7 linked regions of the Sus scrofa genome follow. The protein of the gene in region 1 purifies or fractionates together with the protein of each later gene. This does not show direct contact. Links are inferred from orthologs where the notes say so. Each region holds a gene or a part of one and is shown in the gene's direction. Other genes may lie near its edges.

Region 1 (4,073 bases):
GTTTGCCTGTGTAACATTTTGGTTTGTGGCAGAACCTCAAGTCTCTTGGACCAGCCTTTCTAATGCTTCTATGAATTCGTATTTAAAGCTGGAGTCCTAAAATTATAAATTTTATTTTATTTATTTATTTTTGGCCATCCTGCAGCATATGGAGTTCCCCAGGCCAGGGATCAGATATGAGCCACATCTGTGGCCCACTCCATAGCTGCGGCAATGCCAGGATTCCTAACCCTCTATGCCAGGCTGGGAATCAAACCTGTGTCCCAATGCTCCTAAGACGCTGATCCTGTTACATTGCAGTGGGAACTCCATAAAATCTTAAATTTTAATTTGAAGAATTACCTCTTTCCTATTGAAACAATACTCAGGAGATTACTGCTCTCTGTTGGGCGGTGGAATACAAAGCCACAAGGACACCAACTGCCTATGCAACTCCGAGTGGAGTTGTAAGACAGGCAAGTGAAGTTGACGTGTTTGTGGTAAGTGGTCTAATAGGTATTACTTGATTACCAGGGCACCAGGTATACCTAACTCTAGCAGTTTCTTGGAGCAGGGCAAATCAAACTGAAACTTGCAAGTGGGGCAAGAATTAACTAACTGCTGCAGATGTGAAATGGTAATCCCTGGTTAAAGAATATGTGCAAAAGTAGAAAAGTAGAGGAACAGGAGTGAGCTGAACATATATATGAGGGAAATTGAGTATATGTAGCCTTTTATGTAGGGAACACATTGGAGCCTGGTGAGAAAACAAGCAGCTTATACTCTTATGTATTGCCATGTTTGAACACAGTGCAGTGACTCTTGGCAATGTCAGAAAGTAAACACAGAATAATAGTAAGACTGATCTTCCATTTGTAAAAGTATCCTCTTAGGCTTAGCAGTTAAATTCTAGTTGATAGTGCATGGCTATAAAGGGTGAGTTTATTTGTATATTTGGTGAATACCAGGTTTGGATTCAGCCTTATTATTCAGTATTGTGTTCCTTAACTAGCTATTTTATCTTGGGAGTAAGGGGTGAATGTTCAGTTTAAAAGGCCACTGAATGATATACAAGTTTAAGTTTTCATACAGGTAATTTTAAGACAAGCATAGTTCAAAAACAAGCATAATCCTGACCAAGAATTTAAAAAAGAAGCCCATACCCATTAATCAGTTACTCCCTATCTCTGCCTTCCACTAATCCCTGAAAACCACTAATCTGCTTTCTCTCTCTATGGATTTGCCCATTCTGGATATAGAATAATAAAATACGTGGTCTTTTGTGGGCAGTTTCTTGCACTTAGCATAATGTTTTCAAGACTCATCCATATTGAAGCATGTATCAATCCCTTTTATGACTGAGTAGTACTCCATTGTATGGATAATACCACATTTTATTTATCGATTCTTTATTTAATCAGTATGTAGGTTTCCCTTTTTTGTATGTGGTTAATGAATAACGCTACGAACATTCATGTATAGATTTTTGGGTGAATGTCCATTTTAATTTCTCTTGGTCGTTATTCCTAGAAGTGGAATTGTTGGGTCATATGGTAACTATGTTTTACTTTTTGAGGAACTGCCAAATTGTTTTCCAAAGTGGCACCACTGTGCTTTCCCACAAGTGGTGTATGAGAGTTTCATTTTCTCCACATTGCCAACATTTTTCTTTTTTTTGGCCGCCCCAAGGCATACGGAGTTCCTGGGCCAGGGATCCCAAGCCATAGTTGTGACCTACACCACAGCTGTGGCATACTCGTGTCCTTAACCTACTGTACCAGGCCGGGGATCAAACTTGCCTCCTGGCACTGCAGAGATGCTGATGATACCATTGTGCCACATGGGGAACTCCCAAGATATTTTTAGATTGCCCTAAGATTCACAAAGTGGGACCACATTGTGATTTACTGGCCAGTGTTGTCAGTTGACCTTTTCTTTTGTGTTTAAGGGATGAAGATGCCCCTGCTAAGATTCCAGATGAAGAAGCCACTAAGCCTATAGGCTGGTTAGATGATGAGCCTGAATATGTACCTGATCCAGATGCAGAGAAGCCAGAGGATTGGTATGAGCTTTAGTTAACTTTTCTTCCTTCCTTCCTTCCTTCCTTCCTTTCTTCCTTCCTTCCTTCCTTCCTTCCATTGCACCTGCAGCATGTGGAAGTTCCCAGGTTAGGGGTCTAATTGGAGCTGTGTGGCCACAGCAACTCAGCACCTGACCCACGTCAGTGACCTATGCCACAGCTCACGGCAACACCAGATCCTTAACCCACTGAGCCGGGATCTGAACCTTCGTCCTCATGGATGCTAGTCAGATTCGTTAACCACTGAGCCACTTTGGGAACTCCGAGCTTTAGTTAACTTTTAAACTTACCTACTTTTTTTTTTTTGAAGTAAAAGTTAGTACCTAAATACACCCAAGTGCTCAAAATGTAGAGCTCAACAAACTAATTACGTTTTCATCTCTCTTTTTTTAATGCACCTCTCATGAAATACCCTTGTTGCTGGAAATGTGAAAACAAGATGATGCTCTGTAGTACAACACTTAGAAATTATCATGCAGGATTTCAGGGAAGCCCTGGGACAGCTTTTCATAGTCCTGCATCATAGAATTCACTTGGAGTTTGTTTATATCTCCACAGGGATGAAGATATGGATGGAGAGTGGGAGGCTCCTCAGATTGCCAACCCCAAGTGTGAGTCGGCCCCTGGGTGTGGTGTCTGGCAGCGACCTATGATTGACAACCCTAATTATAAGGGCAAATGGAAACCTCCCATGATTGACAATCCTAACTACCAGGTTTGTACCTCTTAATGGTTGAGTTGCTTCATTGATCTCTGTGTTCAGATACAAGCTTTGTCTGTAGTGAGGCTGCCAGTTTGATCACTATATTCAAACTGTTGTATTAAAAACAAAGTAAACTTCAAAACTGAGAGGGAACTTAATGTGTTAATTATTAAAAAGATAAACCTGGAAGCTGGAAGGAAGAGCATTCCTAATTGCTTTTTATGTTTAGAAACAAAAAGAAACAAAAAATGGGAAACTTGTGATTTGGTTACCCTGCTCCTGTGTGGCAGGGGTGCGGTAGCCACAGAATTCAAATTGGCAATGTCTTGTGATGGGGTGGGTAGAGGACTGTGATGGGAGTTGGCTTCCTGACCACAAGTCAGCTTATTACTTGACCTCAGTATTTTCCACTGTAAAAAGACTGTGAGGCTCAAATGAGATGATAAGAATAAAGGTGGTGATATTATAAAGCTTCGAGTTTACTATAGACATAACCACTCAGACCCTGGTCTCACTTCTGTTTCTAGTCAGGTTATTTAAAATCATTAATTTCTACTTTGTTACATTTTCAAATGTGCGGTATAGGTCTGCATCTCTCTGTATAAACTGTATATTTTTCTGTTTTTAAATGTGTTTTTAATTGAGCCATTAATGAGAAATTAAAAATTGCCTTTTAGCTGCTTTGTCTATGGCCATTTTGGTGAATTGCCATTTTTGCTTTTAGTCCTTACTTACTTAAGTGATTTTTCTTCTGAATGTATGTGGTAACTATTTCTTTAGGAAGTTAGCTGAAGTGAAATAATCTGGTTGAAGATGGTGTACCTTTTAAATCATCCCTGAAGAAGTCTGTACTGACTCCTGCCAGCAGTTGATAAGAGTAGAGGCTTTTGGGAGTTCCCTTTTGTGGCACAGCAGAAACGAATCTGACCAGGAAACATGAGGTTGCAGGTTCGATCCCTGGCCTCACTCAGTGGGTTATGGATCCGGCGTTGCTGTGGCTGTGGTATAGGTTGTAGGTACGGCTTGGATCTGGCGTGGCTGTGGCTGTGGCGTAGGACGGCAGCTACAGCTCCGATTAGACCCCTAGCCTGGGAATCTCCATATGCCACAGGTGTGTCCCTAAAAAGAAAAAAAAAAAGAATACACGCTGTTGGAATGTGCCAGGCAGAGGAAGCTTGTTGGTTTGAATCACAATCATGGGTGATAATTAGAAATTAAAAGGAGTTGGAGTCTAGACCTGAATTTATGTTGATCATTATCTTTTCTCTAGGGGATTTGGAAACCCCGGAAAATACCAAATCCAGATTTCTT
Region 2 (2,848 bases), about 1.2 Mb from region 1:
TGTAACTGCTTGGCCTGAGGCTTGAGTTGCCTTTTGGTGGCCCCAGGTGGGCAGATGTGAAGGTCGGCTTGTCCCCAGGACCTTGTGGCCAGTAGCTGTGCTCACCCACACAGCCTGGGAACTCTGAGCACACGTGCCTGTGAGTGTGTGTATGTGTGTATACACAAGTAGCTACAGGTGTGGACCGCTAGGGGCCTCCTTGCTCTCCCCCTGGCACTGCCATCTAGTTTTTTGCTTCCGTCCCTGCTGACCTGGGCCTCTGAGACATCCTGTCTTCTCTTAAAGAAAGACCCAGTGGGTAGCCAGAGGTGGGGCACTGAGGCCTGGCCATGCACACATCCTGTCCATGGGCTGGCCTTGGGTCCCACCTCTACACCAAGAGGCCAGCGTCCCGCAGGCTGGAAATGCACCTGGGGAGCCAGGGCCCTCCTGTGGCCAGTCCATAGTGGGACAGAGTGGAGCATGGTCAGCCCAGCAAGAACCTAACAGGCAGGCCTGGGCAGGACCCATGTCCTCCAGGCCCGGATCTCAGATGCCTGAAGAGGACACAGTGCACTCTGTCTGCAGCCGTTCCAGAAAGTGGCTTGATGGGAAAGTCTGGCTTGGGATCCGGGCTTTCATTTTCCTAGCAGCTAAGGCGTCCCTGTGGACGGAGGGAGCCCAGGCCAGCCCTGCTCATGTGTGAGTGTGAACCTGGTATCCTCTGCAGCCAGGTACCCTCTTCTCTTGCTGTGGGGATATCTTTCCTCGGGACTGAGGTTCGCTGATCTGACTGCCAGGTGGCTAAGGTGACTGTCCAAGTGGGGGTCACGACCTCTGATCATTCCACCCAGTTTCGTGTGTTTTTTCTGTGCTCGCATAGTTACACTGTCAGAAGTCACCATGTAACCCCAGGGAGGAAGCAAGGACCTAGGGAGGGTGGCTTGCCCAGTGGGTGTTAAGAGCTGCTGCCTGGCTGCCGGCCTGTCGTCTGTGTCCCTGTAGCTGCTTTCCCCTCAGTGCCTTCTTACTTGGCTGGGTTGTTCAAGTACAGGCTTGTATTCTGCTCTTTCACCTGACTTTACACCACAGGCTTCTTCCTGGGCTGGCTCTCAGCCCGTGTCCTGTGTCCATGACCTTCTCCAGGGGATGCCTCTGAGATATGTGAGGGTGGGTGGCCTTTCCAGAGGGTCACTTCTGGGTAGGCTAACAATTGCGCTAACACTGCTGTGCCTCAGACCCACCTTTATAAAGTCCCCACCGTCCCCAGGGACAGTGTTGTCTGCTCTGGGACAGGGCTGTAGTGTGGCTACTCCACTGATGGGGGTTGCAGCCCTGCCCGGCAAAAGGGTTCTTGTTCTGATCTGCTCTCCTGATCCCAAACACATGGAGGTCTGGGGTCTCATGCCCCAGGGCCCTCCCTGCAGAGGAATCCTCCCAGCTCAAGCCCAGTCTCTCAGCTCTCATAGCCATGTCTCTTACTGTCTAGTTCTAAGTGTTTTCTATGTTTTGGTTCCTAAAGAAAACATTTTCGAGGACGGGGTGGTTTACCTGCTTAGAAACCAGTGGAAGGGCTGCCGGCTGTTCCAAGGCTCTGGGGGTCACCCCAGCCTCACAGGCAGGAGGAAACAGCACACCTGACCCACCTCAGACGGCCTGCCTTGATCAGGGGAGGGGAGATGCAACGCCACCCAGAGGGGATGGTGACCTGGGCAGCAGTAGACTGACTTTCCAAAGGGGCATTTGGGGTCTGCTGGCGCTGGACCCTGCAGTCACTGTCTTGGTCCTTGTACCCAGACCAGGGTGGGCGCTGCTTCTGTTCCCACACCTAGGCCCAGCCAGTTGAGACCATTCCTCCCAGAATCCTGCCTCTGACCCCGAGGGGAGGTCCTTCCAGGGGCCCCACAGTGCTCAGCTCTGTGAACCAGCCCTGGCTTCTCCCTCTGTGCGGTCGGGGTTGGGACCACTCGGGTTTGCCATGGGGACAAGCAGCCAGTGGCCTGGGTTCTTCCCTTTTCACCTTATCTTTGGCTGCCCAGGGAGCAGGATCTGGACCTCGATAGATGATGTTGGCTCCAAAACACGCCTCACCTGTGCCCTGAATCACAGCGCCACTGAGATCGCGGGCCACCGCTGGGAGAAGGGGGGCAAGGTGCTAAAGGAGGATGCGCTGCCTGACCTGAGGACAGAGTTTGAGTGAGTGAGGCCCTCCCAGCAGGGAAGGGGCTGGGGCCTGATCATGGGGCGGGGTCAGGGCTGCTGGCCCTGCCTGCTCTGACCTCTCCTGGCCGCCAGGCCTTGGCCAGGCTGGAGGTTGTAGTTGTGGCCTGGCTTTGCACACATTAGAAACAGGCTTGGGCTGAGGTCTGGGACCCAGCAAGGGGCAGCTGGCTGCAAGACTTCATCACCTCTCAAACCCATCCCTCCTTCCTGTGAGATGGGGTCTGGGCACTCCAGGGACCAATGTGACACCCAGTTTGGGACGAGGAGTGGCTCCAGAAGCCTAGAACACTGCTATGAGCTTGGAGGGTGGTGGGGCCAGGCTCCCTGATGTGGAGTGATCCTGCCTGCTGCCCCGCACACCCCTGGTCCCTGTTCTCTGGGGCTGCCTGTCCGGTGGAGGTTTCAACAGGCTGCTTCTCTCATACCATGTCTGCTACAGGGTGGACTCAGACGACCGCTCAGGCCAGTACTCCTGCATCTTCCTGCCAGAGCACGCGGGCCGCACAGACCTGGAAGTGAAGGGTGGGCTCCCCTGGGCTCTGCAGGGCAGTGTTGGAGGGGAGGTGGGGTGCGGGAGGGACGCATGCGCAAATCCTAATCCAGATGGGGGCAGGGTGTTTCCACCTCTGTCCTCCACCTGGTTAGG
Region 3 (4,073 bases), on another chromosome or scaffold:
GTGATATTGAGACTGTAACTGAGGTATTTATTTGCTTCTTTTTGTGTGTAATCTGCTGGAGTGTCTGGTTTCTGAAGTTTTATTTGCAGGTCATGTGACAAGGCTCTCCTTTTTCATTCCTAACGATTTCGAAATCAGAGCTTTTTGAAGCTGGACGGAGAGATCATTTGTGGTGATAAAACAGAATCTCAGAGAGGGCAGTGACTCTTGTTCCCGTCCCCTGGCTTCCTGTTTCCGTGTTCTTTCCACCATAGTATAAGTGTGCATGTGTCTGCTATCCTGTGACACTACAGAAACCATCACTTGTGAGGTAGAACCACCATCACCATACTAATCCATCCACAATAATCCCTGAATAAACAAGAGGTTCCAACAATTTTAGTTTCTGATGGTTGTTTAGTTTTATTATCTTTTTTCTCTTTTAAAGTAAAGTGCCTTTGTTTAATTTGAATTTTCCTTGTTTTTCAGTTCAAATTTGAACATCAATGATGTCCTTGGGAATTATTCATTGACTCTTGTTGATGCATTGGATACACTTGCAGTTAAGTGTTCAGCTTTGTTATTATTTTTAAACATTAATTAAGATAAGGTATTTTTGAGTTAATTAACATTAATTTTCCTCCAGGAATGAGAGTTCCAGGAAGCTTAATACTCAAAATGTATTCATAGCTCTGATAGCTTTTGTTTATTTTAATGAGCTTAATGCTGGGAGCAAAAAAAAGCGTCGGAGGTTAAAAGAGGGGAAGTGTGATTTCCCTAAAAAAAGGGAGAAGAAAGTATTTTTGTTTTGGGAGAAGCTGTTTTTCTCCCAGCTTCCCACTATTTCATTCCTTAAAGGAACCAGTGTACAGTTACTCTAGTTAAGATTTGAGAAGTACAAGATAAGTCATCAGGATCTTAAGGCCTTCACAGGACAAGATCCCCTGAAACGTCAGCTGGGTCCTGGCATCCCAAGAGCGAGAGCGAATCTGAGCCCTGGCCCCCCACCTCTGCACAGAGACCCTCTCTGTTAACAGCCTCCTTTTATTTGCTTTCCGTGTTTTGTGGACACCCCCCTTCCAGCCTTGGGCTGCCAACTCAGGGACCACCTTTACCTCCTCATCTCTTGGTTCCCTCAAGGCCTCCAGAGACCTTGGAACAGATTTTTAGAAGCGCACTGAAAGCAGTAAAGCCCTGTGGAGGGTACCTGTTACCAGACTGCCATGTGTGCTTGCTCTGCTTCCTGACTTTTTGCTCTAGAATCCAGCAAGGGGACTCAGTTCCACATAGCGTTTAAAAGTTTTCTGAGTAAATAAGATTTTACTACCTCTGCTCCCCTTCATTGCCCAGCCAGGCTTTACCAGTAGAAAATTTTTACTCTCATCAATGTCAATCCTCCATTTTCTTTCCTTAAAAAGAATTTAAAGCTGTCCAGAATTAGAATTGGGTGATGCTATTTCAAGCTTGCACTATGAATGAGCAGGATCTTGTTAGTAGTAGAACTGCTGGAACTTGAGAGGTCTGTCTACATCCTCCTAGGCTGGTCAAATAGGAAATCCGGGGTTTCATCCTGCCAGTTGCAAGGCAGTTAAAGTTTCCCAATATCTCCTGCTGAAGTTATTGCTGCTCCATTTTTGAGTTATCCACCATCACTGATCAGAATGTGCCCAGACATGTATGTTCACCCTAATTACACTTGTTGAAGGTGGCAGAGGCTGACTCAGCCTGCAAGTGTTGCTTTAAACAAAGTCCCAGGACTCATAGATAGCTTATGAAAGCTGGTCTTTTCTCCCTGAGCTCTGTCTTTTTGCTGTATTGTGTCTGTTTATCCCCCTGCCATGCTCATTAAATACAGAGACCTTGTCTCTGTTAATCACTGCTCTCTCTCCACACCTAATGGTGTCTGATACTTAGTAGGAGTGCAATTATATGTCAGGAAAATGAATTTCTACTAATCTGAATTTCCCAACACAGATTCCAAGGGTAAATTCCCTGAAAGAAGAATTCTGTTCCAAATGAACTGGAGAAATTTTCCAAGTCTGTGATCTTATTGGAGAGCCACAGTATACACCATCATTTTAAAGGCTCTGAGAAATTCTACAGTAGAGAAACCCATTTAACTCTTCTGTCCAATCCAGCTTTTCTTAAGTGAATGATTTCATAGCCTCGTTACTCTCTTCTGTTCCTGTCTAAAATGGTAAATTACAACACGTAATTGAAAGTTGTTGGCTTCTTTCACCACCCCCCACGTGATTTAGACCATATTAGCACCTGCAGCTGCTAACAGATATTGCTGCTGGTGAACATCTGTAAGGAAACAACCCCATCTCTGTGGTTTTCATTGCAGAATATCCGGTCTTTAAAGTATACTTCAGGCTTATTTTTCAGGTGTCACTTCTGTTGAGGTTTCCCTTTTCTTTTGCTAACATTTTAAACAAACTTTAATGGGTGTGTTTTGGAAACATTTGGACGATAGCAATCCCTTGACCATTTGATGCAACTTGCAGCGTGATTGCATAATCCTTTAAAAAGAAAGATCTGAAAGCCAGAAAAGAAATGTCTGTACTTTTTCTGCATGTTACAGCAAAATAACAATGAGGGGGGTGAAAAGAAAAAAAAAATGCACAAGACCAATAAATACTAGGAAATAAGACATACCTGAAAGAAGTAGTGTCTGAATGGAATTGTTTTTTCTAGTTTTCATGTGTGTCCTTATGATGTCATTACAGTCCCAGAATTGTCATGAAATTTTGAATAGCATGAAAGCATTTCAGTTCAGTGTTAAGTATCAAATTTTACACCCAATTTGCACTTCATATAGGAGAGAGAAGCTTAGAATACCTTATCCACGCACCCAAAATAGAAATCATAATTCTAGATCACTTTTTACAAAGGACGTAGAGTTGATTATGTCTATGTTTTGATTGTCCTGAATGTCATTAGTTTTATGCTGTTATGCTCTAAAAGATAACACCACTGTTTCTCAAATTGTTCAGATATCTGGGTAACAAGTCACAAGTCGGTTTCCCAGATGTTTTGGTCTCCTGGGAGCCAAGCGCCGAAGCTGTCCAGTTACTTGAGGAGCAGCAAAGTTATGTTTTTTGTTTGTTCAGTTTGGGGGCTTATTTTTACTCATTTCAGTAATTTCAGGAACTATAATGCCTTGCATGCTAAATAAGATCAGGTTGAAGTTGAGGGAGAGTGGAGTGGGATCAATGAGGAGTGCTAATGATCTTATGAAGAATTATTTTCCCAGTTTCGCCATTTGGAGTTAGGACTCTTGAGTTGTTGGAAATGGACTTGATGTCTGTCCCAGAACATATTTTAAGAGATAACTGTGCTTTTCTGCCTTTTGTGTTTCTGTTCCCACAAATGGTAAAACCACACATTAGAGACACTCAGATGAAGTGGCCTACCTCCCTGCCATCATGTAGCCTCAGTTTCACTTCAGGCTGTGGTAATGGTTTGTGTTCCTCTTTTTAAAGATAATGGGAAATTCATCCGAGTTCCAGAAAGCAGTCAAGTTAGTGATCAACACAGTTTCATTTGACAAAGATTCCACCGTCCAAGTCTTTGAAGCCACAATAAGGTAAAAGAGTACCTAAAACGGATTGAAGCCTTCTTTTATGTGTGTAAGGAGAAAATTCCTGTGAGGGTCCACCAGCCACGAGGTCCAGGTCGAGGGTCCAAGCCTGTGATAGCCTACCACCTATGATAGACCACTGCTGAGCATTTGGGTCTACTCGCTCCTCATGTGTCTTTCTTCCTCCCTCCCTCCCTCTAATGTGCTGGGCCCTTGTGTTATATCTTGCCCTTTTGGTTTGCTAGATTGTGACTGTTTTCCTTTTCCATTTAAACTTTTTGGAAATTGTATCACCATATAACTTTGCAGATGTAACACTTCTTTAAAACTAAAGTTATGAAAATATTCTGAAAAAATATCATGATCCACTTTGGATCATTGGAATGGGACATGAATTCATGGTTGTTCAGGGATGGAGATCGAAGCTGGTGGCCCCTACCTCTGAGTCAGTCATCTTCTTTTTCTTCTCTTTCTCACCTCGCCTCTCTGCCTGAAGTTGGAGAATTTCCTG
Region 4 (4,616 bases), on another chromosome or scaffold:
ACAGCCTTGTCAGCCCACATCTTTCACCTGAAGATGGCCTAGGAAATGGAAAGGCAGGTGCCCTCAGATAATGCCAGACAACTCAACGCTCAGAACCAGCAGCATCTGAGTACCACGTCATGAATCTCTGGCCAGAAATTGGCTCTTCAATGCCTCGGTAAAGCTCAGCATTTGATTCACTTGTTAGTAATTTCCTGATTAAGGGTGGCTTAGTGGTTCTCAACTAGAGGCACAATTGACAAGGCCTGGAGCATTTCTGGTTGTTATAGCTGTGGGGGAGGGGATGATACTGGATCCAGTGGGCAGAGGCTAGAGGTTAAACATCTTACAGAACAGCCCCCCTTCTCCCAGAAAGAATTATGTGGCCCCAAATGTCCGTAGTGTTGAGATTGAGGAACCCTAGTGCCCGTGGCAGGAGAAGCCTGGGCGGAACTGTTGAAGTGGTAGGAAGAGCAGAGGGTTGAAGAAGTTGAGAATCCTGCCTGGGCACAACCCAGGTTGGGGGAAGACGCTGTGCTCTAGCACTGTCTGTGGAATAATGTCATGTCACAGGCAATAGGTGCCAGTAGAGGCCCTGGCCAGGGAACCAAAATAAATCTAAGCACTAGTTTCTTGAGAAGCTGAGCAGAGGCTGCAGACAACGATTGGAGAAACAGAGGCTGAGCCATTTGACTGCGTTCATCCCCCTCCCCATTAGGGGACTTTGTGACCTAATTGCCTATTCATATCAAAGGAATCATTTGCCTTAGGTGACAGGGGCAAGGGGTTAAACTGGGGTGAGCAGAAGATCGGCAAGTTAATAGTAGCTTACTTAAACATACATGGATTTGCAGAGTGATGTTATGATAGATCTATGATGGGATAGTGGGTTCGTTAAAACTAAAACACGCTTTTGTTAAGTTAGCTTTTGGTTGGGTAGATTTCCAAGGAAAACAAGTTTCTCCCCTAAAAAACACGCAGAGCAGGAATCCCAAAGCACTATCAGTCTCAAGGCATGAAGAAGAGAAAAAGCAACACTGCCTTTTCCCCACTTTCCCTCCTTTCAAATTTGTAATTTCTCTGCTGGAGGCTTGCTTTTTCCTGAAACCGAGTCAGGAGAAATCAATGGAACCGTGCTGGGGTTGGAAGAAAAGTATCCAAGTTAGGGCAGCAGAAGGTGCCAGGATTTATGTTTCTGATGTTTCCCATGTTTTGCAGTGTTGCAACAAAGTCTGCGAGTCAGCCTGGGTCATAGGAAGTTCTGGAACGTTCTTGAGCGGGTTCATTCGCGTTTGGTAAAGTCCTAAAAGGAGAGGCTAGAAGCCAGAGAGGCAGCTTCTGCCTGCTTGTTTTAGACGCCACTGTCTATGCCGACCAGGTCTGGACTACATTTCCCAGGATGCCCAATTGCTGGCGCCCGTGCAGGATTGGCTAGAACAACGCGGAAATGACTACGGGTCGCCCAGCAACGGGCGGAGTCCTGGACCTTGACTGGATGCCCACGCCCCTTGCCTGCGGAGAGGAGGTCTCGAGGCTCGGCTCCATCTCCAGCGCCACGGAGGGTTTACCGCTTTTTACTTGCAGCCGAGCGGCCGTGCGAGCTCGTCCGTGCTTTCCCCACAAGCTTCCTGGGCCCCGCCCCCTTTCTCTCCAGCAGCTGCGAAACTGCGGAGCGTGGATTACAGCTGCCGTGTCGGCTGAGGGGCACCGGGAGGCGCAGTGCGCAGGCGCGAGCGTTCGGGACCCGCGGCGCGCGGCGCTCGGTTGTAGCAGGAGTGAGTTCCTGGGCGCAGAGACCCGGCAGTGGGCTGTTGAGCGAGCGGGTGACCCGGCGCCTCCTCTGCAGCCATGGCAGCTCTGCGCTACGCGGGCCTGGACGACACGGACAGCGAGGACGAGCTGCCGCCGGGCTGGGAGCAGAGAACCACCAAGGACGGCTGGGTTTACTATGCCAAGTAAGGGGGCCGCCGGGCCTGGGGCGCACCTGGAACCCTGACTACTCACCTGCCCGGGACGCCGCGCTACCCTCGAACGCCACCTCCGCCGGGAGGGCCACGGGCTCGTACTTCGGCTTGGCCTGGGCGGGCGAAGTGGCAGTGTTGGTTGAAGAGTTTCACATAGAGGGCTGTTGGAGTCCTGAGGACCGGCCGGCCCCCTCTGACTCTTGGTGCAGCAGAGGGTTACTTGGCGTCCCTGCTCGCGCGGTGCTGCCCAGTAGGCAGCCTGCACGGTGCAAGGATGGCAGACCGGCCTCATCCCCTTCCCCTTACAAAAATGCTCATGTCTAGCTCCTTCCTTGGGGGGTCTGGGGTGGGGACTAGGAGTGTGTATTTTCAGCAAATATCTTAGTATCCTATGTGTGTATGTGTGTGTACACGTGTATGCACATATAGAAAACACATAGCTGATTTATTATAGTTCTCAGGAAAGTTTTGGAAGCACCGTTTTCCTATCACTGGCTATGTGACCTTGAGTCTTGGGAAGAGCTCTCAGGCATGGTTTTCAAATCTGCAAAATATGCTGATAGAGTTTTAGGTGAGTTTCTGTACATAAAGCGCTTAGCATGGGTCTGAAAATACTCAGTGCTGGATAACTGCTCCTCTTTCCCGCTCTCTGCAGCTGTGACGGAACCTTCTAGGCCCGATATTAGAATCAGCTGGGGTCTATCTTAAATAGAGCTTTGGGGTCGCCACGGAGACCCTCATGCAGCAGAATGCCCAACATAGGGGATCTTTATCTTTGAAGCTTTCCAGGTGAGGCAGGTTACCCTTGCTTTGAGGAACACAGGTGTAAACCAGTGATTTTCAACACCTGGAAAACTTTTTTTCTTTTCTTTTTTTGAAGTATAGCTCATCACTTGGAAAACTTAAATACTCTTCTTCTGTCTCCCACCTCCAGAGATCCTCATGTAATTTCCTCGCCCCTCCCCCACCCTAATTGGTAGGTTGGAAATTTTCTCAGGTGCTTCTGATCTGCCCTAGGTTGTGGGCCACTCCTGCCTGTGGTGGTTTGGTACCAAAAAAAAAAAAAAAAAAAAAAACCCTTGATGAGTTTATCAGGATACACTGGGAACATATCCTGCCCCAGGCTCTTTGCTGGGCTCTGGTTATATGGAGAGAAATAAGACCCATTGTCGCTTTCCTGAGTGCCCTCCTGTCTTTCTAGGGCTGGGGGAGGTGAGGAGGTGCCTGGGCGGGGGGGTGGCGGGGGGGGGGTTGGCAGCTGAGGTCAAGTCCAAGAACAGGAGGGCAGCCCAGGGAGACAGGGTCCTGGGCCTGGCCTGTGTTGCTGCAAGACCTTGAGGAATGAGGCAGGAAGGACCCAGGTTATTTATGAAGGAGCCAGGCTCCATTGTCAGGGCTCGAGGGTCCACTGAAGACTTGGAGCCAGGGGGTGACCTCGGGTTTGCGTCTTCATTTTTTAAAACTTTTTTTTTTTTTCCTTTTCAGGGCTGCTTTCGCGATGTATGGAAGTTCCCAGGGTAAGGGTCGAATAGAAGCTGTAGCTGCTGTGCCAGATCTGAACTGCCTCAGCGATCTACACCACAGCTCACAGCAACGCTGGATCCTTAACCCACTCAGCAAGGCCAGGGATTGAACCTGCGTCCTCACAGATACAAGTCAGATCCCTTTCTGCTGAGCCGTGACGGGAACTCTGGGTTTACGTCCTTAGAAGGAGGACTTCTGCTCTAGAATGGACATTCTTGGAATGTGGGGGCTGCAGGCAGCTCCAGAACAGGAGGTAGCTGTTCCCTCAGCCTTTGCCTGAAGGGCATGTTCAGCCCCGGAAGCTGAGCTAAAATGTTGCTCCCCCCTGAGAGCATCCACAGGCACGGGGGTCTGTGCCCTCTTCCTGGCACCTTGCGATCCCTTGTATGTGGTTTTCTGTGCTCTCCTTGGCCCCGTTTGCTCTCTGGCCGTCCCCAAGTTGTCAAGTTCACGAGGGCAGAGACCTTTTCTCGTTCCCCTCCCTATGCCCCACGCTTCGCTTGCAGGAGCCATGGAACAAGTCCATGGGGAAGAGTGAGTGCATGAGTTCATCTGGCGAGGGTTTCCTGCGGGCCTCCCTGGCCAGGTGGCCTTAGGCCCCAGGAGTGCAGAGAGGCACACAGCCTGCTTCCCAGCTCCAGTTTTTGGGGGCTCCTCTGCTCCGTGGCTTCCTTCTTCTTCTTTTTTTTTTTTTTGGCTGCACCTGTGGCATGCAGAAGTTCCCGGGCCAGGGATCAAACCTGTGCCACGGCAGTGACAACACTGGATCCTTAACTGCTTGGCCACCAGGGAGCTCCCTGGCTTCCTTTCGAGGCGCCTGGAGCCTCAAGTTAGATCTGGGGGCTCTTTTCCCTGTGCTCACCCCATCTTTTCTCCTTTGTCTCACCTTATGTTGGGTGGCCTTGCCCATCTGCTTGCTTTCTGAATGGTGTCCCTGCTTCCAGTAAATAAGACCTGCACACCCCAGCCAGCTCTCCCACAGCTTCTGGGGATCAGTGGTGCATATATGGTCTGAAAAATCCCCACCCACAGCAGTGTCTGGTCCTGGTGTTTGCACTGACTGGTGACAAGGCTTGGTGGGCTCCCAGCTGGGGGCGAAGTACCTGTCTCTAGATGTCCCTCGAGTCCTTCTGGCCCTCTTTTCTTTGG
Region 5 (4,073 bases), on another chromosome or scaffold:
AAAACTTTGCTGGTCTGTAAAGATAATAGACCAAGTGTGCTAATTAAGCCAGCGGCTAAGCTGCTTGAGGAGTTACTGACATTCCTGAGTTGGGTTTAGCAAGTGAATTGGGGGTTCCCCGAGACTATCCTCAGGCTTGATGTTTTGCAAGAAGGACTCACAGAACCCAGGAAGACTTTTATACTCATGGTTTTTATTTATTACCAGAGAAAGATACATATTAAAATCATCAAAAGGAAAAGGGAAAGCATATGGGGCAAAGTTGAAGAGAAACCAAGTTCAAGCTTCCAGATGTCCTCCCCCAGTGCAGTAGCACAGCTGCACTCCATAGCTTAGCAATGAAGTGTAGCATGTGAGAAGTGCTGACAACCAGGGAAGCTTACTGGAGCCTTGTTGTGCAGGGTTTTTATTGGTGGCTCAGCACACAGGCTTTGTAGCATTCTTATCAAGGAGAATATTTCAAGGAGTCAGAGCTCATCTCCCAGGAACTGGCCAAGGATCAGTCCTGAAGTTAGGTATGTCTTTGGAATGTGCAGGGTTTGAGCAACTTGGGCCTGCTGAGTTAACCCTTTCCTTCACTGCAAGTTAGCTGTTCAGAGTTAGTCGTCTTCTGGCCTGTCTAGTTACTCTTTTTCTGGTTATGGTAGACCTCCTTGGTCTCATCACAGATGGCCATTCTGCAAACCTGGACTCTTCTGTTTCCTTTGCCAACATGTAATTGGAAAGTTTGATCTCTGCTTCACAGTTTCATGAGATCATAGTGAAATCTAAGTGGCCAATTCTGTCATTCATCCAGCGTTATTTGAATGTACCAGTCCTAGTGGTAGATGTGAGTTTATAGAAATGATTATTATGGGTCTCTGCCCTCAAGGATCTTAGAGTTTCATAAGGAGAGGAAAAAATAATAACTCTGGGTAAGGAGTGTATGCTTTGGAGAGCATTAACCTTGTTGGAGAGTTTAGTAGAGGTGTACGTGTGTGTGTGTGTGTGAGTGTGTGTTTGGGAAAGTGTTGGTGATAATTAGAAGACTTCCCTTCATTGGTTACTCCTCAAGTTGAACTATAAAGATCATATAGATAAAAGTGGGTATAGAGCTAGTGTTTCTCCAGTCATTTCTGTAGCCAGTTGCTAGTGTGGTTGGAGCATATATGTATTGTTACCTTGCTTATGAGAAAGTAACCTAATTCTAATTAGAACATACTGGTCTTTTTTTAGGGTTTACACAAGAATGTCTGACAAATCTATTTCTTTTACTCCATTACTATAAATCCACCCTTGACATTTCCAACCTACACTGAGGCGGTAGTAGTATTTTCACATATTGCTCTCCAGTGGGGGGTGTATATGAATGTCTGGTTTTGGACTTAAAGGAATAAGTATAACCTTTAAAAATTTCAATGTACCTTTTTTCAAATGGGTTAGCAAATGCTTATCTTAATGTTAATGAAATTACATGTAATAATGTTTATATACTTGGAACTTAAAAAGTTTTAGGAAAGAACCTGGGTCCAGATTTCATCATATTTGGCTCCTACATATGTATGCTTCTTAACAGAATTTGGAACTTCTTAGAGTAACAGTTTTGTTTTGTTTTAATTTTATTGGAGCATAGTTGATTACAATGTTGTGTTAGTTTCAGGTATACAGCACAGTGATTCAATTATATATGTACATGCATCCATTCTCTTTCAGCTTCTTTTCCCATTTAAGTTATTCTAGAATATTGAGTAGGGTTCCATGTGATCCACAGTAGGTCCTTGTTGGTTATCTACCTGATATGTAGTAGTGTGTACATGTTAATCCCAAACTCCTAATTTATCCCCCTGCCATTTCCCCTTTGATAACCATACGTTTGTTTTCAAAGTCTGTAAGTCTGTTTCTGTTTGGTACGTAAGTTCATTTGTATCATTTTAAAAATTAAATTCCATGTATAAGTGATGTCATATGATACTTGTTTTTGTCTGACTTACTTCATTTAATATGATAATCTCTAGGTCCATCCACGAATTTTTTTTTTTGAACAGTGCAGAGATTGTATGATTGTAATAGAATCAGGAGTGTATTGATTTAGAGATTATGGGATAATTTCAGATTGTTAACCTTGAGAATTTTTTTCTGATAGGGTCTTTTTCTCTTTTTCCAGCATTACAGTGTTTCTGCCACCTTTGCACAAAAGACAATTTTACTTGTGTCACAGATGGGCTCTGCTTTGTCTCCGTCACAGAGACCACAGACAAAGTTATACACAATAGCATGTGTATAGCTGAAATTGACCTAATTCCGCGAGACAGGCCATTTGTATGTGCACCTTCTTCAAAAACTGGGTCTGTTACTACAACATATTGCTGCAATCAGGACCATTGCAATAAAATAGAACTCCCAACTGTTGGTAAGTTGTTTAAGATTTTTTTCTTGATACTACAAGAAAAGTTCTTAGAGGCTGCCACTGATTTTAGAGATGGAAGGGATCTTAGAAATTGTCTACCCCAGCTTATTCAGTTTAGAGGCAAGATCTAACTTGTCCATTGTTGTAGTTATAAGGGTAGCCAAGATCTTGACTCCTGGGTGTGTGTTGTTTGAGAAGGTAGTTCCACGATCGACTTTCTCTGAGGTCTGTTATGCCTAAAAGAGTAACCTCTTTTAGCAAATCCTGATAAAGCCATCACAGCAGTATGTCCTCACAGTGTCTCTACTTTGTTCTTAGAGTGAATTTTTTTACTTTTATAATACTCCAGACTTTTTTTTTGGTGGGGTTGGGTGGGGTTTTAGGGCCACACCCGAGGCATATGGGAGTTTCCAGGCTAGGGGCCAAATTGGAGCTGCAGCAGTGGCAGTTCAGAGCCACATCTGCCACCTACACCACAGCTTGAGGCAATGACAGATTCTCCACCCACGAGCGAGGCCAGGGATAGAATCCACATCCTAATGGATACTAGTCAGATTCTTAACCTGCTGAGCCACAACAGGAACTCCTAGTGCTTCAGACTTTTAAAGCAGTCAGTAATGGGCAGGAATTGAGAGCAGCACTAAACAGTCCAGATATCTCATTTTGTAACTTCAACTTGCCTTATGATCTTTATGTATAAATTATTATATGATTTCTAGGTTTTTCATCATTCACCATAGTTTACATTTTACTTTTTTTTATTATTGTTATTATTATTATTATTTTTTTTTTGTCTTTTTAGGGCTGCACCCACGGCATATGGAGGTTCCCAGGCTAGGGGTCCAATTGGAGCTGTTGCTGCCAGCCTACGCCAGGGCCACAGCAACGTCAGATCCGAGCCATGCCTGCAACCTACACCACAGCTCGCGGCAATGCCAGATCCTTAACCCACTGAGCGAGGCCAGGGATCGAACCCTCAACCTCATGGTTCCTAGTTGGATTTGTTTTCCCTGCACCATGACGGGAATTCCCCCATGGTTTACATTTTAAAACTTAATAAACTCTTAGGATTAGATTCATTTTAAGGCTCTGGTTTAGGGTGTCAGTCTGAGCTCATGTATTTAACTCTTATGTCATTTTCCTCAAATCCCAAATACCTATTATAATAATATATAAAGGAATAAAAAACAAGGGAAACCTGTATTAATGATAGTAGAATTAATGGAAGACATGCCACCCACATGCCTATACTTGTGAAGAACTCTGTAGTTTATAGAGCAGATAATAACAGACAAGTGAAAGAATCTCTTGCAGAATCCCATAGTACCTTAAGCTGATGAGCTGGGTGCGAGGTTAGGCTGCAAGTACGAACTCTTACTTCTCCTTTAAGAAGCACCTGCTTTCAGTACTGAGGTGCAGAACACATGGCTCACTTTCCACTCAGCTGGTCTAGGCCCATGCTAATTATAGTAGGAAGCACAGGAGTGCCTGTTGTGAAACAGTGGATTAGGAATTTGACTGCAGTGGCTTAGGTTGCTGTGGAGGCACAGATTCAATCCCTGGCTCAAGTGCAGTGGGTTAAAGGATCTGATGTTGCCACAGCTGCAGCTCAGAATCATTCCTTAACCTGGAAACTTCCATATGCTGTGGGTGCAGCCATAAAAAGGAAGAAAATAGGAAGCACTGT
Region 6 (3,079 bases), about 14 Mb from region 1:
GCTTGGTCCCACCCACCTGTCCAGTAGCAGCTGCCTGGTACCCCAGTTCATCCCACCTCATCAGGAGGGATCCTGGGTCCTGGGCTCTGCCCAGGGCTGATGCCTCTGCGGACTGTGCTTCTCCCAGGTGGAGCCCCAAGCCACCATTGCCGAGATCAAGAACCTTTTCACCAAGAGTCGTAAGTCTGGGGCCTGGATGCACTGCCCCTTGCGACCCCTCTGGGCAAGGACCTTTAGGTGGGACCTCATTTTGCAGAGATTCCCCCTGTGTGGCCCAGGCTTCTGTGGGCTTGCCTGGAGCAGGCGCCCCCACGTGGCCATTGGTAGGAACGCCCTTGCTGGGCTGTCGGAAGGACAACATCCGGCTTTGCTTGCTCTTCCGGTCTGTGTCCTGGAGCTGCACGGGCTTTTGCGGGGCGGGGCGTGGGGGGAGAGGAGTTGCTGTAGGGAACTTGGGTCCCACCAAGCTGTGCACTGTGACATCTCATTCCCCACAGATCCGCAGTGGTACCCTGCCCGCCAGTCCCTCCGCCTGGACCCCAGTGAGTACAGCTGTCTGCCTGGCTCCCCCTGGGCTTTTGGGTGGCAGTGGGTGGAGGCCCAGGCAGCCCCTGAGCCCTGGCCCACCTCTTGACAGAGGGCAAGTCCCTGAAGGATGAGGACGTTCTGCAGAAGCTGCCTGTGGGCACCACGGCCACACTCTACTTCCGGGACCTGGGGGCCCAGATCAGCTGGGTAACGGTGAGTGCAGATGCCCCTCTCCCAGTAGCCTTGACTCTCATCTGCCACATTGTGGTGACTCACTTTGCCCCTCCCCAGGTCTTCCTGACAGAGTACGCGGGTCCCCTTTTCATCTATTTGCTCTTCTACTTCCGGGTGCCCTTCATTTATGGCCACAAATATGACTTCACGTCCAGTCGGCATACGGTGGTGCAGTGAGTAGGGCCAGGTGGGAGCTGGTGGCAGAGGGAGGGGAAGGCCTGCCGGACCTGCCCCTGCTAAACTGACTTCCCCGACAGCCTCGCCTGCATCTGCCACTCATTCCACTACATCAAGCGCCTGTTGGAGACGCTCTTCGTGCATCGCTTCTCCCATGGCACTATGCCCTTGCGCAACATCTTCAAGGTCAGCCCCCAGCTGCCCATCCCAGGCCCCTCACCCTTGGCCCGCCCTCCCTGGTCTTCCTCACCTCCACTGGGGCAGGCTCCATCCCGGCCCCGCTCCCTTTCAGAACTGCACCTACTACTGGGGCTTTGCTGCATGGATGGCCTATTACATCAACCACCCTCTCTACACACCCCCAAGTAAGTGGCCTTGGACCCTGTTCCCCCTGTGAACAGCCCCCTCCCTGACCCAGGCTCTCCCCTGACAGGCCTTCCTTTCTGCTTCCTCTTCAGCCTATGGAGCTCAGCAGGTTAAATTGGCACTCGCCATCTTTGTGGTAAGCAGTCTGGGGTGGATGATGGGGTTGGGGGAGTCTGTGGGGGTGCCCTCCGAGCTGACCCTGCTTCTTTGACAGATCTGCCAGCTTGGCAACTTCTCCATCCACATGGCCCTGCGGGACCTGCGGCCAGCAGGTGAGTGGCCTCCTCCAGGCAGGGGGGCTGGCTTCCTGGGCAGGCTGGGCTGGACTAGGGTGTTCTCACTTCTGTCCTGTCCTTCCAGGGTCCAAGACCAGGAAGATCCCATACCCCACCAAGAACCCCTTCACATGGCTTTTCCTGCTGGTGTCCTGCCCCAACTACACATACGAGGTGAGGGTCTGCCTGGCTCCCCTCCCCTGTCCCTCCTGGGGTTCGGGATCCTGTGTGGAGGGCTAGTCTTTAGGAGGGGGGTTGCCTAGCTTCGTAGCTGCTTTCATAGTTTGAACTTAAAGTACCTGGAGAAGGAGATGGCCTCTTGGGGGCCGGGGGGGCAGCTTCACCATGTAGTCCCCCCTTCACCTCCTTTACTCCAGGCCCTTCGAGCCCTGGAGTTTGGTTCCCACCCCCTTACTAGAATAGAAAGTAAGGGTTGGTGGGGAGGTGGCTGGGAGGGTGGGCGGGGTCTTGACAGAACAGCTGGGGCTGTGCAGCCCTGCCCACCCTCGCCCTGCCTGCCCCGTCCACAGGTGGGGTCCTGGATTGGCTTTGCCATCATGACACAGTGTCTCCCAGGTGAGCCTGCTGCCCCTTCCCCAGGTGGGGCCTGTCTGCCCTGGTTGTGTGCAGCCCTCCCTGACTCCACTGCTCTGCCCTACAGTGGCCCTCTTCTCCCTGGTGGGCTTCACCCAGATGACCATCTGGGCCAAGGGCAAGCACCGCAGCTACCTGAAGGAGTTCCGAGACTACCCGCCCCTACGCATGCCCATCATCCCCTTCCTGCTCTGAGCGGCTCCCCCCACTCAGGCTCAGGCAAGCTGGGCTCTGTCCCCCTGCCCCGCCCCAGTGTCATCCTGGGGGAGGGGTGGGAACTGTTGCTCTCTAGTGCCTGGAATAAAACCTGCCTGCCCAGCTGGACTCAGACTCAGGGTGTTTCTTTTGGGGGTTGGTTTAGGGACCAGCACACGACAGAAAGAGGCAGAGTTTGGGCCAAGGGGCCTGGAGGCTTTTATTTCTTGACTGGTCCACAGGGTGGTAGGTGGGCCCACTACAGGGCCATTTCGGGAGCCACCTCACCGGGCCCCTGGCCTCTGGCCATTTCTGCTTCCCTCTGCTCCCGCCGCTTCTTCCGCTGGAGCAGCCGCCGCTCCCGCTCAAACTCCTTCATGCGCTTCACGTAGCTGTGGGCAGAGCAGAGAAGTGGTGTCAGGTCCCCCTCCCCCAGCCAGGACACAGCCGTCCCATAGTCTGAGAAACTGATGGGACAGGAGCACGTGGCCTGTGGCACTTGGGGGGCCTGAATAGGAAAGACCTGTGTCTGTGGATTGTCTGGGGACCACCCCCACCCCCTCAGGTGGACACCAGTGAACCCAGAGCAGGGGCTGGGCCTCCCACCTCAAAGGTCCAAGGCAGCCTCAAAGCCACTATCCCACCCAACAGCCCCTTTGGGGTCCTCTTTCTATTGAGGTGGAAATTTGGAGGGATGGGGTGTGGGGCTC
Region 7 (4,676 bases), on another chromosome or scaffold:
GGTTTCATTCAAGGATTTCTGATCAAGACGCAAATAGATATCTCAGTAGACAGGGGAAGGGATTTGTACCAAGGGAGCATTTGATTGGGGAGTTTGAGCTGACTTTTCCAGGTCAAGAAAGGAAATTAAGGAGAAGAAGAAAGAATGAAGGAGAATAAAGGTACAATTTTAACTCCCGTTGAGTTGGAAAGAACCTTTAGAAGAAACTGAGTCACTGAGAAGGTGAGTGACTCGTCCAAAGCACACAACTAAAACCCAGGTCTAGTTCTCATGCTTTGTTCTGACTTCTTACTCTCCACTGCTCATCTGGCTGTGAGGGGAGATTATCTGATTTATAAATGGTTTTATGGCTCTCCTTCTCACCACTCCATAAGTTACCTTGGCCCCCAGGGATATTAGCCTGAGTGTTCATTTTGACCTACTGATTGGTCATGAATAGCCCACCAGGGAACAGGGGCAACCCCATCCTAGAGGGTGTTGCTTTACAACAAAGCTGCTCTGACGCTGAGTGGTGGCAGTAGTTTGAGAGCAGAAGCCAGCCAGTCTTGGGCTGCCATCTGCCCCCCGGGGGCCCAACCTGGGCAAAAGTCCCCCGGCAGGTGTGTGCAAGACCTTGGAAAGGGAGCATGGCAGCGCCTGGGCCAAGCAGGAGCCTTCCTGGGCCCAGCTGGAGAAGGGCACTACCAGCTCACATAGAACCCCCATGATCAGACTATGAGTTACCCAAGGGCTGGCTTATCAAACGGTTGTGTCCCTTCTCCATTAGTACCCATACTCCCATCTCTCAAGCGCTGTCCTACTTCACCCAGGGCACAATTTCCTCATCTCTGTGCATCCTCTCCAACCCCCTCCCTTGATTTAACCATCCCCCCCCTCCAGTCCAGAGTGAAAGCGAAAGCGCTTTGGAACAGCTTCCCCTTAACGCTTCCACCTAAGGGCCAATGCATCCCCTTTCTACCAGCCTCGCGTGCCCAGTCCCTTCGCGGACCCCTAGACGACCCCCTCCAGAACAGAGACGCCTGTATTCATTTCAGGGTGCAAGCAGCTGGCTGCTACAAGCTATCTCCTCACGCTTGTTAGTCTTCAAATTTACTCCTTGGCGCTTCCAGGGTCCCCTTGTCGCTCCACCCCTCTGCTGGCCCTCAAGCCCAGACTCATTACCCCAGTGTGGACTTCTCCGGCCCGGGGTAAGTCCCCAGTAGGTCCTCCAGCCCGCAGCATCCCGGTGCCACGCTCCTCGCTGCCTTGGGCACTGGTTTCCGACCTGGGACAGCACGGGGTGAGCTGCCTTACAGCCCCGCCCCTTCACCACGCCCGCCAGGGGGCGCCCGGGTCCGCTCCTTGCGGCTTCGCACCCCTGCGCCAACCTGTGTGGTGCAGGTCTGCCCGGAGACAGATGACGTAAGATCCCTACCAAAGGGCTGGGGTGAAAAAGTCCAGACCATTGGATCCCGCAAGAGGAGGCAAGGAAAGAAGGAGGGTCTGGCGTTGGTGATAGTGAAGGTGGAGCGCCAGGGCTCCTCCCCCAAACCTCAGATCTGATGCCAACGCCCTCCTCCAAAATAGTCCGGGCTGGCCGCCTTGGGGAAGTGGGCGGGTCTAGTGAGCCGGCGGCCGCTTTCGTTTTCCCTTTCCCATAAACCGCTTGCTTCCAGCTCGCTGAGGCGGTCCAGGTCGGTTCCCGGGACTTTCCGAGATCCCCGCCCCGGCCCGCCCCTGGACCCTCCCCGCTGCGGGTCCGGGCCTGCTCGGGCACCCACTCCGACAGCATCCAGAGAATCCAGCCCAGCAGGGATAGCGAGAGCCCCAGGCCGGGGGTCGACCTCGTACGGCCAATGGCCAGCTCGGGGTCCTCCGCTCCCTGCGGGTGTCTCTGCGTCTCCCGAGCTTCCCTCCCTTGGCTGGGGGCAGCGCTGCTGCTTCTCGCCGACTGGGTGCTGCTCCGGCCGGCGCTGCCCCGGATATCCTCCCTGCTGCTGCCCCCAGCGCTGCCGCTGCTCCGGGTCTGGGTGGTGGGCCTGAGCCGTTGGGCTGTGCTGTGGTTGGGGGCCCGCAGCGTCCTCAGGGCGACGGTTGGCTTCCGGGAGAAAAGCACAGGACTTCGGGGATGGCTGGCAGCTTTGGAGCCGCTGGCGGCGGCTCTGGGCTTGGCTCTGCCGGGACTTGCCTTGTTCCGAGAGTTGGGCTCGGGAGCGGCTGACAGCACGCGGCTACTGCACTGGGGGAGTCGCCTCGATGCCTTCGCCCTCAGCTATGCGGCGGCATTGCCCGCGGCCGCCCTGTGGCATAAGCTTAGCAGCCTTTGGGTGCAAGGAAGTCACAGAGGCTCTGGAGTGACAGTGAGCCGGCTTCTCGGCTGCCTGGGCTCAGAGATCCGCCACCTCTGGCTCCTTCTGACCCTGGTGGTCCTCTCCAGCCTTGGTAAGGGGGATGCGGGGGGAGGGAGAGGGAGGCTAGAGGGCTGGGTAGGAATCAAGCCTAACGGTCAGTGAGATAGACAGGTGTGAGTTCTCGGAAATGTGGATAAGAGCAAGCCCACCCCGCTCAGGTCCACTTGGTGGAGAGGAAAGAGCCCTGGACTGGGTGGGAGTCAGGAGTCCTGGACTCCAGTGCTGCTCAGGTGTTGCTTCACTGGCCACCTTGGGCGAGCTCTTTCCTCCTACCATCCTAGGCTTCTTAATTAACCCTCTAAAGGTCTGGTGAGGCCACAGGATTACGAGTTCCCCGGGGGCCCATTCCAGTGCCGAGAGTGTGCGCTGTTTCTGCAGGATAATGGGCAAGGGTGAAGGGAGGATGGGCGGGAGGTGCAGCCTGGTTAGAGCTGAGCTGCTTAGGCTGCTTAGACTTGCTCTTTCTGACCCGCCCATCTCTCCTCTCCCTCCCCAGGGGAGATGGCCATTCCGTTCTTCACAGGCCGGCTCACTGACTGGATTCTACGAGATGGGGCAGGTGCTGCCTTCACGCAGAACCTAACTCTCATGTCCATCCTCATCATAGCCAGGTCTGACTGCTGAGCTTGGAAGGCTGGGGACGGGGGACCCTGAAAAGGGCGCAGTTGGAAGTTGGGGCCGCCCTCCAAAGTGCACTTCTACGGGGTCCCTGACCGACCGGCCCTCCTTCTTTGTCTCCCTCTAGCTCGGTGCTGGAGTTCGTGTGCGACGGGATCTATAACAGCACCATGGGCCGCGTGCACAGCCACCTGCAGGGAGAGGTGTTTCGGTCTGTCCTGCGCCAAGAAACAGAGTTTTTTCAGAAGAATCAAACAGGTGTCTTATGAACCTCTTTCATTATCCGTCTGTTTTCTATTTGTATCCCCACACTTCATCTTTTACTTATAATCTTGATCTTTCTCTCACACACACACAAATGGTGTCCCTTTTTATTCTTGATGTACTTCAAGAGCAAGATATGCTCTTTACCTTTAGAAAAGCCTACTGTTGGAGTTCGCCGGTGGCTCAGCGGGTTAAGGATCTGGTGTTGCCACTGCTGTAGTTCTGTGGCTGCTGTGGCTCAGATCGCTGCTGTGACTCAGTTTGCTTCTATGGCGAGGTTCCATCTGGCCAGGGAAATTCTGCATGCTGTGGGAAGGGCAAAAAAAAAAAAAAAAAAAAAAAAAAAAAAGACAAAACCAAAAACACAATAAAACAAAAAAAAAAATGATTAACCTACTGTTTCCACCCAAGATTTTTCCATAAACTATCCCTATAAGTGTATTTAGGTAGAATTTCAAACCTGGAAATTTTGAGATTAGAGAGTCTAGCTGACTCATTTTACAGAGAAGTGAAATGAGGTCTAGACCTAAATGCCAACATTTGCATGGATGCACATGGATGAAGACAAACTTGAGAGCAGAACCCATGTCTTGATTCCCAATCCAGTGCTTGCTGTGGTTTCCTGGACTGCTCTCTAGTAGTCTCTCCATTTTTCTCCAGCTCTTGTATGACCAGCTTAAGTTCTTCCTACCTATGAGCATGGTATATACAAGTTCTTTAAGGAACAGACACCTGTCAGAGAAACAGAAGTTCACATGGGCATCCATTTCTTTAAAAATTTTTTTTTCTTTTATGACTGCACCTGTGGCATATGGAAGTTCCTGGGCCAGGGGTTGAATCAGAGCTACAGGTGAGGCCTGTGCCAGTCATGGCAACACCTGATCCAGCATCTGTGACCTACGCCACAGCTTGTGGCAACAGCTGGTCCTTAACCCACTGAGCGAAGCCAGGGTTCCAGCCTGCAACCTCACAGAGACGGCGTCAGGTCCTTAACCGCTGAGCCACAGTGGGAACTCTGGGCATCAATTTCTTTATAGTTAAAACGAAGGTCTTTGGCCAGGCTTTTCCACTCTAACACATTTTTCTTGCATTATGTTTCAGTCCTCCCCCAACCACAGACCTTGTTTTCCTGACCTTCTTTGTCTTTTTTTTTTTTTTTTTCCCCGCTATTTCTTGGGCCGCTCCCGCGGCATATGGAGGTTCCCAGGCTAGGGGTCGAATTGGAGCTGTAGCCACCGGCCTACGCCAGAGCCACAGCAACGCGGATCCGAGCCAAGTCTGCAACCTACATCACAGCTCACAGCAACGCCGGATCGTTAACCCACTGAGCAAGGGCAGGGATCGAACCCGCAACCTCATGGTTCCTAGTCGGATTCGTTAACCACTGCGCCGCGACGGGAACTC

Evidence for each region.
Region 2: the proteins of CANX (region 1) and BSG purify together in Homo sapiens (affinity purification with mass spectrometry; 3 studies listed by BioGRID and IntAct, with this or other methods). This does not show direct contact. The link is inferred for Sus scrofa from reciprocal best matches to the Homo sapiens genes CANX and BSG.
Region 3: the proteins of CANX (region 1) and EDEM1 purify together in Homo sapiens (affinity purification with western blotting; 6 studies listed by BioGRID and IntAct, with this or other methods). This does not show direct contact. The link is inferred for Sus scrofa from reciprocal best matches to the Homo sapiens genes CANX and EDEM1.
Region 4: the proteins of CANX (region 1) and WWOX purify together in Homo sapiens (affinity purification with mass spectrometry; 3 studies listed by BioGRID and IntAct, with this or other methods). This does not show direct contact. The link is inferred for Sus scrofa from reciprocal best matches to the Homo sapiens genes CANX and WWOX.
Region 5: the proteins of CANX (region 1) and TGFBR1 purify together in Homo sapiens (affinity purification with mass spectrometry; 3 studies listed by BioGRID and IntAct, with this or other methods). This does not show direct contact. The link is inferred for Sus scrofa from reciprocal best matches to the Homo sapiens genes CANX and TGFBR1.
Region 6: the proteins of CANX (region 1) and TECR purify together in Homo sapiens (affinity purification with mass spectrometry; 3 studies listed by BioGRID and IntAct, with this or other methods). This does not show direct contact. The link is inferred for Sus scrofa from reciprocal best matches to the Homo sapiens genes CANX and TECR.
Region 7: the proteins of CANX (region 1) and TAP1 purify together in Homo sapiens (affinity purification with mass spectrometry; 3 studies listed by BioGRID and IntAct, with this or other methods). This does not show direct contact. The link is inferred for Sus scrofa from reciprocal best matches to the Homo sapiens genes CANX and TAP1.

The regions. Positions count from the first base shown.
Region 1 is NC_010444.4:78,887,869-78,891,941, reverse strand, and holds part of CANX (calnexin), read left to right. Parts: intron 1-1,927; coding exon 1,928-2,041; intron 2,042-2,617; coding exon 2,618-2,774; intron 2,775-4,032; coding exon 4,033-4,073. UniProt on the Homo sapiens protein: Calcium-binding protein that interacts with newly synthesized monoglucosylated glycoproteins in the endoplasmic reticulum. It may act in assisting protein assembly and/or in the retention within the ER of unassembled protein subunits.
Region 2 is NC_010444.4:77,737,674-77,740,521, reverse strand, and holds part of BSG (basigin precursor), read left to right. Parts: intron 1-2,018; coding exon 2,019-2,175; intron 2,176-2,641; coding exon 2,642-2,724; intron 2,725-2,848.
Region 3 is NC_010455.5:61,709,923-61,713,995, forward strand, and holds part of EDEM1 (ER degradation-enhancing alpha-mannosidase-like protein 1), read left to right. Parts: intron 1-468; coding exon 469-541; intron 542-3,464; coding exon 3,465-3,568; intron 3,569-4,073. UniProt on the Homo sapiens protein: Extracts misfolded glycoproteins, but not glycoproteins undergoing productive folding, from the calnexin cycle.
Region 4 is NC_010448.4:9,867,902-9,872,517, reverse strand, and holds the start of WWOX (WW domain-containing oxidoreductase), read left to right. Parts: upstream 1-1,469; 5' UTR 1,470-1,827; coding exon 1,828-1,934; intron 1,935-4,616. UniProt on the Homo sapiens protein: Putative oxidoreductase. Acts as a tumor suppressor and plays a role in apoptosis. Required for normal bone development. May function synergistically with p53/TP53 to control genotoxic stress-induced cell death.
Region 5 is NC_010443.5:240,887,263-240,891,335, forward strand, and holds part of TGFBR1 (TGF-beta receptor type-1), read left to right. Parts: intron 1-2,143; coding exon 2,144-2,389; intron 2,390-4,073. UniProt on the Homo sapiens protein: Transmembrane serine/threonine kinase forming with the TGF-beta type II serine/threonine kinase receptor, TGFBR2, the non-promiscuous receptor for the TGF-beta cytokines TGFB1, TGFB2 and TGFB3.
Region 6 is NC_010444.4:64,723,117-64,726,195, reverse strand, and holds the end of TECR (very-long-chain enoyl-CoA reductase), read left to right. Parts: intron 1-127; coding exon 128-542; intron 543-637; coding exon 638-741; intron 742-819; coding exon 820-935; intron 936-1,019; coding exon 1,020-1,125; intron 1,126-1,231; coding exon 1,232-1,304; intron 1,305-1,397; coding exon 1,398-1,441; intron 1,442-1,519; coding exon 1,520-1,577; intron 1,578-1,665; coding exon 1,666-1,754; intron 1,755-2,110; coding exon 2,111-2,156; intron 2,157-2,241; coding exon 2,242-2,369; 3' UTR 2,370-2,498; downstream 2,499-3,079. Other genes in the region: NDUFB7 (NADH dehydrogenase [ubiquinone] 1 beta subcomplex subunit 7), read right to left, coding at 2,629-2,761. UniProt on the Homo sapiens protein: Involved in both the production of very long-chain fatty acids for sphingolipid synthesis and the degradation of the sphingosine moiety in sphingolipids through the sphingosine 1-phosphate metabolic pathway.
Region 7 is NC_010449.5:25,068,928-25,073,603, reverse strand, and holds the start of TAP1 (antigen peptide transporter 1), read left to right. Parts: upstream 1-1,614; 5' UTR 1,615-1,835; coding exon 1,836-2,421; intron 2,422-2,886; coding exon of another isoform or gene 2,887-2,913; coding exon 2,914-3,001; intron 3,002-3,135; coding exon 3,136-3,266; intron 3,267-4,676. Other genes in the region: PSMB9 (proteasome subunit beta type-9), read right to left, coding at 1,162-1,221. UniProt on the Homo sapiens protein: ABC transporter associated with antigen processing. In complex with TAP2 mediates unidirectional translocation of peptide antigens from cytosol to endoplasmic reticulum (ER) for loading onto MHC class I (MHCI) molecules.